Notamacropus eugenii: one gene and its partner. The protein of the gene in region 1 interacts with the protein of each later gene in a pairwise test. Links are inferred from orthologs where the notes say so. Each region holds a gene or a part of one and is shown on either strand. Other genes may lie near its edges.

The links.
Region 2: the proteins of UBE2L6 (region 1) and RNF144B interact in binary tests that used the Homo sapiens proteins (3 or more experiments, as listed by UniProt). The link is inferred for Notamacropus eugenii from reciprocal best matches to the Homo sapiens genes UBE2L6 and RNF144B.

What each region holds. Positions count from the first base shown.
Region 1 is NC_092873.1:3,196,390-3,200,304, reverse strand, and holds the start of UBE2L6 (ubiquitin/ISG15-conjugating enzyme E2 L6), read left to right. Parts: upstream 1-1,093; 5' UTR 1,094-1,370; coding exon 1,371-1,397; intron 1,398-3,915. UniProt on the Homo sapiens protein: Catalyzes the covalent attachment of ubiquitin or ISG15 to other proteins. Functions in the E6/E6-AP-induced ubiquitination of p53/TP53. Promotes ubiquitination and subsequent proteasomal degradation of FLT3.
Region 2 is NC_092875.1:190,956,492-190,960,406, forward strand, and holds the start of RNF144B (E3 ubiquitin-protein ligase RNF144B), read left to right. Parts: upstream 1-1,289; 5' UTR 1,290-1,308; intron 1,309-3,915.

The DNA of each region.
Region 1 (3,915 bases):
CTAGCTACTGCTTGATTTAAGGTTTTCAAAGTGTCCTACATATATTATGTGATTTGTTCTTCATACCAGCCCTGAATATATTATTCCCATTTATATGGGTTGAGAAAACAAGCTGAAAAAAGCTGAGATTTTCCAAATGTTCCACAGTAAATGTGAGAGTCAGGATTAGTTTCAAGTTTTCTTCACTCCAGGTGAAGTGGCAGAGGTTACAACCAGCAATAAAAAAGCAAGCTCAAGATAGGCAAGGAGGGTTGAGGTCAACTCCTCTGCCTGAGGACCCTTACTAGCTAAATTCGAACCCTATATCCAGCCTAATGGCATGATGTGGGCCTGGCATAATGGTAGATACACACTTAAAAAACAAAAAGAAACATTGATGATTTTTGATCTGATATAACTTTGGGGAGTTCCTGTGATGTCAGCAGTGTCAGAAATCCCTCTATGAATGAAAATGGCATCTTTTCTGCCGCTCATCATCTCACAAAGTCCCCTCGGGCACGGAGAGATGAAGTGACATTGTAGGGTCACTCAGCCAGAAGATGTCAGAGGAGAGACTTGGACCCAAGTCTTTCCAACTCAGAAACCAGCTCCTTACTCCCTCCATCATTTCTGCCTCTCTCCTTGTATTCCCTTCCTGTTATATCTATCCCTCTCCTTTTTTTTAAAAGTGGAGTTAAGTGACCTGCCCATGATCCCACAGCTAGTAAGTGTCTGAGGCAAGCTGAACTCAAAGTCCTCCGAACTATAGACTGCAGCATCCATCTAGCTGCTCCCCACCCCCACCCCCTTTCCTCCTAATTGAGACATTCCTTGTAACAAAAGATTGAAAAATCAAAGGAAAGGTTTGCCAAAATCAATGAACTTATCTACAATCTGACAGTATCGCAATATTCCATGCCCTTAGACCCCCCGCTTCTCCTAAGGTAAGTGAGGCCCTTGTTAGTCTCAGCTTGGCCGCTGTCTCCAGATTTACGAGCTAGAAGCTCCCCTAAAACTGCTCAGCCCTGCGGGGTCTGGAGAAGGAATGCACCTGTACCCAGGACTCGAGGAGGCGGTGCCATGGGGAGAAGGGGCGGGGCGGGGGCGGGGCATCCAGAAAAACCTCAAAGGGAGGAGAAACCTCAAAGATAAGCCCAGCCAATTCCTTCATTTTACACATAGGGAAGCAGAAGCCCAGAACCAAGATCACCCAGAGAATTCGCCGGAGTCAGAATTTGAACACAGATCTCGACGTCGGTTCCAGGGAAGGTCCGCGAGACCCAAACTACTCGTAAGGCGATCCCGCCGCCACTCACCAGCCCTCGCCCACCCTCCTTGCCTCTCGGTCAGCCAGGAGTCCCCCTGACTCCCCGCACTCCGCATCCCCAGACATGACAGCAAGCAAGCGCGCTGCGAAGGTAAAAGCTCTGGGCTGCGGTGAGCTAGGAGGGGTGAACAGGGTTGCCTGGTCCTGTCGCGCTCACAGAGCCCTCTCCCTCTGACCCAAGGCATCCTCTGCCTACCCTCTCACACCCCATCCTCCCAGGCTCCTGGTCCTCATCTAACCCCACCCTCAGGATTCCCCTTGCCCCCCCCATCCAACCACTGTTGCCTCCCTCTATCCTCCTCCTGGTCTACCTCATCTGTCCGCTGACCCGGACAGACAGAACACTCCCTGGGCGACCTCTGTCCCTTTCCTCCTGAGTCCATCCTTCATCCGGGAAGTGGCATGTGAGGGGGGCAGGGGAGAGGCCACGGGAACTGGTTTTGAGAGGCAGACGTAGAGGGTTTCCTCTGGTCCCCCCGAGGTGCCTCGGGCTTGGACTCCCTATCAGCCTGCTTTGAATCTCTTTCAGTTTCGTTTCCTGGCTACGAATGACCACAGTCCCCAAATGGAAATAATCAGCCAGCGAGTGTTTGTGAAGGGTTTCCTATGTGCCAGGTATCTCACTAAGTGCTGGAGAGACGAAGGAAAGCAAAGGGGGTTGTTGCCTTCAAGTTCCTCACATTCCAATTATATAGAATATCCTTGTTGTTTGTCCTTGGTTTTCGAAAAGGACCGTGACGTTAGGGAAGGGATGCCAAGACGTGCCAGTGAGTTGGATGGAAGTGAGGAAGAGCTGTGAAAAGTCCCCAGGCTCGCTTTCTCGTAGATGGGGGTCAGGGTGTGGTGATGAAGAGCTCTGAATTCCGAACTTGCTCTCTGTGAAGTTGGGGCAAAAGACGTCCTTCCCCTCTCCCGGCTTCAGTTTACTGCATAGATGGGGAGAGCTAGTCTAGATCTTCTCCAGGATTCTTCTAAAGCCTATGACGCTGTGAGTTAAAGTGAGCTGGCTGGGAGGGGGTCGAACTTTGGGAGAGTCACCCTTGGCAGATCCTTAGCGCCCTGGTCTGGTGTGGCACTGTCCACCTTGGGACCAGGACTGCTGGGATGTGGTAGGCAGCGTGGCATCATTGGAACAGTACTGAATTTACCTGTGAGATGATGGTGTTCTCATCTCAGCTTCGATGTTTACTACAAAGGAGGTAGTATATAAGGGTAGCTCTTTGCAAATCTTAAAGGACCGCAGAATTGTTGTTGCGGTTAAGCAGGGCGATAGAGAGCTGACCTCTCAGTCAGGAACACTTGGATTTCCGTCCTCCCTCAGTCACACATTGGATAACACCGAGCAAGTTTCTCAGCCTTTCAGTACATGAGTTCTCAGTGTCTGTGGTCCCTGGACCTTGGACTCTGAGGGTCCCCAAGACCCTTTCAGGGGAACTGAAAGCTCAGAACTTTTTTTCATAAGAATGCTAAGATGTTCTTTGAGTCAGTCTTCCTTTTTTAGCTATGTAGCTGTCCATGCATCTCAAGAGGGATTTTTTCATATATTTAAGCTGAAATACCAGATACAACAGATTGAATGCAGAAGCAGATGTGAGAATACAGCTGTCTTCAATTAAGCCAGTCATTAAAGAAATTTGCAAAAGTATGTAAGACAATACTATTCCTCATTAACATTTTTTGTTTGGAAAATTAGTTATTTTTCATAAAACATGCTATTAACATACTATAGGATTGCTGTTATTTTCATTGAATAAATATTTTTAAATGATTAGTTCTAATTTGTAATATAGTTATTAATAGCTAGAGCCCACATAAATATTTCTTCTTCTTCTTTCTTCTTCTTCTTTCTTCTTCTTCTTTCTTCTTCTTTCTTCTTTCTCTTCCTCCTTCTCCTCCTATAGGAATGAGGTGCCCAGGATCCAGGGTGAAGGTGATCTGAGTTCTCCACTTTCACTTTCTACTCTTCTAAACTGACATTTCCCTGACAATGAAAGACCTCAGGAAAGAACCGAAGAATTTTGGTTTTGAATTTGTTTATTGCAAAGGAACTCTCAAACTTATGGCAAAATAAGGACAAATTTTCCTCCTGTCAGGGACTACCAGGAGGGCTCTCAGTGTTCATGCTTTAAGCCAACGTAGAGCCACAGAATGTCTGAACTAGAAGGGATTTGCAGATGGTCTAGCCACGTTCTATTTTTTCATTTGAGGAAATGAAGAACTTTCTTGATGTCACACAGTGAATTAATGGAAGAGCTAGGACTGTGGATTCATTGGATTTAGAGCTAGAAGACAAGGCAACTGAAGCAAATACAGTTAAGTGACTTGCCCAGACTCACACAGAGAGTAAGGATCTGAGGCTAGATTTGAACTTAGGAAGATGAGTCTTTCTGCCTCCAGGCTCAGCATTCTGTCCACTTCACCCCCTACCTGCCCGCACTTGGCACATAGTGGGCACTTAAATGTTTGTACATTCAAGACAGTTTGGGTGCTGCTTTCTACATGAAGCCCGTCCTGATCTCAGCTGTTAAAGCCCTCTCTCCTTCAATTACCTTGTATTTATTCTCTATATACTTGCTGTATATGTGTACAAGTTGTCTCAACCAATGGGA
Region 2 (3,915 bases), on another chromosome or scaffold:
CAGTTCTAAATCTGTGATCCTATGTATGGAATTTGCCTTTTTACCAGGGGACAAGCCCGAACTCAAGAAATGAATGTTTAAGGAATTCCAAGCCCTATGGTAGTAGGATTGATGGGAAGGTATTTTTGGATAGGGGAATTAACACATGCACTGGGCTTTCAACAAGTAGGGCTGGGCCTGCATATTAGTGATTCTTTCCCTATCCCTTTCCCAATTTTCTCATCTTTCCCACTATTTTGGTCAGTTCCCTTTATTTCCAGTTCATTAGCAGAACTATAAAACTCTCTCCCTTACACTTCCCCATCTCTTTCTCTCCAAACTGCAAAACACTAAAAAGAGAGGTAGTATTTTTGCGCTAAATTAATTATTTTTGCACACGGACAGGTGGCAGCATGGCACCTTACAGGGAAAGAGACCTTATGTGGCTTAATAAATACTTTCTGAAGCTAGCCCAAGATCAGATAACTTTAAGGTAAGAGCAGGAGCAATATCTTACTCATCTCTGTAGTCTCAGTGACTTGTATTGTGGTTTAAATTCATTTAAATTTAAATTCATTTGAATGAATGAATACGTGGGTCCATTTAAACTCATTTTTGATTAAACTTTGTTTAAACGTCATTTCTGAAGATTTTTAGAAAAATGCACTGATACCTTCTCCCCCTACCCCACCACCATCATAAATACTAAATACCAAATCAAATTTTCCTCCTTCAGCCCCCAATATGTATATGTTCCAGAAAGATAGGAAGAGGGTATTATGGTAATTGGGTTTTAAAGCGCTACCCCCATCCCCCCAGTCCCCCATTGCAGCCTAGACTAGCTGACTAATTAGGATAACCGTCCAATATCCAACTTGCCCAGGCCCAGAAGAGTTAACAAAGGTATGCATACCCTGCATACCTTCCTAAATCGTGTCTGAGGCTATCTGTGTGTGTGCTGGAGGCTAGGGGGTGGGGTGGGGACAGAAGGAAAAAGAAGGGATACCGCCTTTAGAGAGAAACAGTAGAGGGAGAGCTGCTACCGCGTTTGCCATTCCCACTGGGAGGAGAGTGGAGACTGGGAGGGAACTGGTGGGAGAGCAAGCACAGACAGCAGAGGCAGGACTGAGAAGGGAGGGAGATAGTGAAAAGGAGAGGAGGAAGGGGCAGGGGCCTGTAGGAATAGCCAGGGTGGAGGGGGAGGGGGGACCGCAAGAAGGGTTTTCCTCTTTAATCTCCGGAATGGTGGCTGCTTGAACTTGATCGTGCGGATCTGGGCTGGGGCAGGCGCTCTTTGCCCGGGATCCCACTCTGTCTCCAGGAAAGAAGGTAAGGAGTGAGTTACCTACCCTCTCTTATTGCCCACGTCTTCCTGGGACCCCATAGTCACGGAGCGGACTTCACCCCCCACCCCGCCCCCGTCTAAACCTCCCTCTTTCTGGCTCTCTCCAGCCCCGCCACGGGGGAAGCGTCGAGCCAGTCGCCCGCACGCCCGCGCTCCGCGGCTGAGCCTGGCACCGCGTCGGGTAGCCCACTCGCGGGGCAGCCAGGCGTGTGCGTGCGTGCAGGCTCCCTCGCCGCCACCGCCTGCGCTGGGACGAGCAGAAGCTCCCCTTCTGTCGGGATCCGCGCCTCTGCTTTGCCAACCGCTGGAGCTCCATCCACCGCGCCTTCTCTCCGAGCCCCCAACGCGCCCCCGCCTCTCCTCCGCCCCGGGGAGCAGGTCCCGGGCGATTGAACCCCAAGGGACTGCAGCAGAAGAACGAACACATAAGCAAATCCTTCCAGTGTGGCAGAAACTAATTGAATATGCAATAAATTTCCAACTGTAATGTCTGTCTTCTCCCCCCCTTTCAATATTCCCCCACCCCCACCCCCGTCAAAACTTGTGTGTGCAATCACTGTCGTATTTGAGCCTGGACACCGCACGCCTCTGAGTCTGAGGCTGCAGAATTGTGGGGTGCTTCACTTTTCCTCCGTGGCGTGGCGGGATTCACCCCCAACCCCTCCTCGCCTTCGGTCCCCACGGGACCTCCTCACTTTCCACCTCTGTAAAATAAATGGGGGTGATCCAAATGGAGAGCGTACGCAAAGCGTACGCTGTAAAGCGCCACGCAAGGAAAAGGTGCTTTTGTTTTTGTTTTTTAATCGCGAAATACCGTGACAGCGTATTGCGTATACCTGTGGAGTAAGAACGATCTCACTGGCGCTGGAGGGCTCAGGAGAATTCAGAGGGTGGGGTAAGAATTTAGCGAGGAGTAAACCTGGGCCTGCGGGGGGTATAGATGCCCAGATAACAGGAGGGAGAAGGGTGTGGAGGGGCAAGGTCACTTTTCAGGTTAGGGAAGACGGTCCAGATTAGAAGATAGTAGGGAAATCCCCCAGGCTGCTGTACCTAACGAGGATTTTTTGCGTGTTTGTTGTTATAAGTAAGTAAAAACATGCAGCTAAATCCGACCTTTTAAAAGTCGCTGGGAAGAAGGAGGGGAGCATTCATTTGCATTCCATGAACTTCTGATGCTGAGGCTGGGGTTCATTCAGCTCTGTCAGGGACTTGCCGGTGACCTGCGGCAAGCACACGCACTTTAAAATGTTCAGATCAATTTAAGCGTGCAAGATACTTTCCTAGATCTTGGAGTTACAAAGACACAAATGAAAACTCCCCTGTTACATTCTGTTGAATTGGGGGCGGGGTAAGAAGAGGAATTCATCGTGTATCCAGCTACTGTAAAGGTAATAATGCGAGGACAGAGAGAACGCTAACAAGCTGGGGGTGGGAGGTGGGTGTTGGAGCTAGCAGTCTAACAAGAACTAATTATGCCTGATAGGGGAAGAATGATCATATTCATTAATTAAGGATGCTGCTTATACTGCTGTTACTGTGTAATGACCATCACTGGATACAAGAAGGCACTGTGTCAGTTAAGTCCAGCTGCTATCCTCCTCTGTCAGGTTCTCAGGACAGCAAGTTGCCTATCACTCCTTAGGCCCACCTTCTGCATGAGTGATGCCGAGTTCTGTCCTTTAGAAAGGGGGTGTTTGTGTCTCCACCAATCAAATCCTTTGTCGTGCCCATCGCTCCCCCTTAGCCACACCTTTTCCTTTACGCTCCTTAAATGTGCTTGGTAAAATCACCTCTATCAATGTCATTACTATAGAAAAAAGCACTTAAAATGGTAAAACAAACATGCGTTGGATATAAAAACAATAGCCACAGGTGTCACAAACTCCAGCTTTTTCATCCCATTCTCTCCTGAACTCCCCAGGAGAAAAAATAAAGGCTGTTCCAGTTGGTGTTCATGTCCCCACTTTCTGTGCCAAGGTCTGGGTCACAGGACCTAGGAAGAGTGAGTATCTGATCACAGATGTCCTGGCTCTCAGCACAAGGAGAGAAGTATCAGTCACTCACACTCTGAAGACTTCATATCCCTGGGGCCTAGCACAGCAACTAAATTTCTACTAGTACTGTGTATTTGTATTTCTTCAAATTAAAGTTTATAGATATATTTTTATACACTAATACTTGAGTGTGATCTTTGAGAATTGACATAGCACTATAGACAAATGCTAAACACAGGCTAATACTAATAATCAAAGTATTCATTTTCTAACTCTTCTCTGTTGCTAACTCTTACTGACATAGATTGTTGGGGATAACACTTTTGCCTAATACATAGAGTTGGGGTGATGCTGAAATAAAATGAAATGATACCTTATAAACAATAAAATGCTGCACAAGTACATTATTATTGTTATGAAATCATAGGAATTTAGAGTTTAAGAGATCCTTAGAACTCATCTAATCTACTCCCCTCTTCTGGATTTGAAGATGAAGAAATTGAAACATGGATAGTTTAAGTAGAATCATAGATTTTAGACCTGTGGAGACCTTTGAGGCAATGAAGTACAATCCTCTCATTTTACAGATGAGCAAAC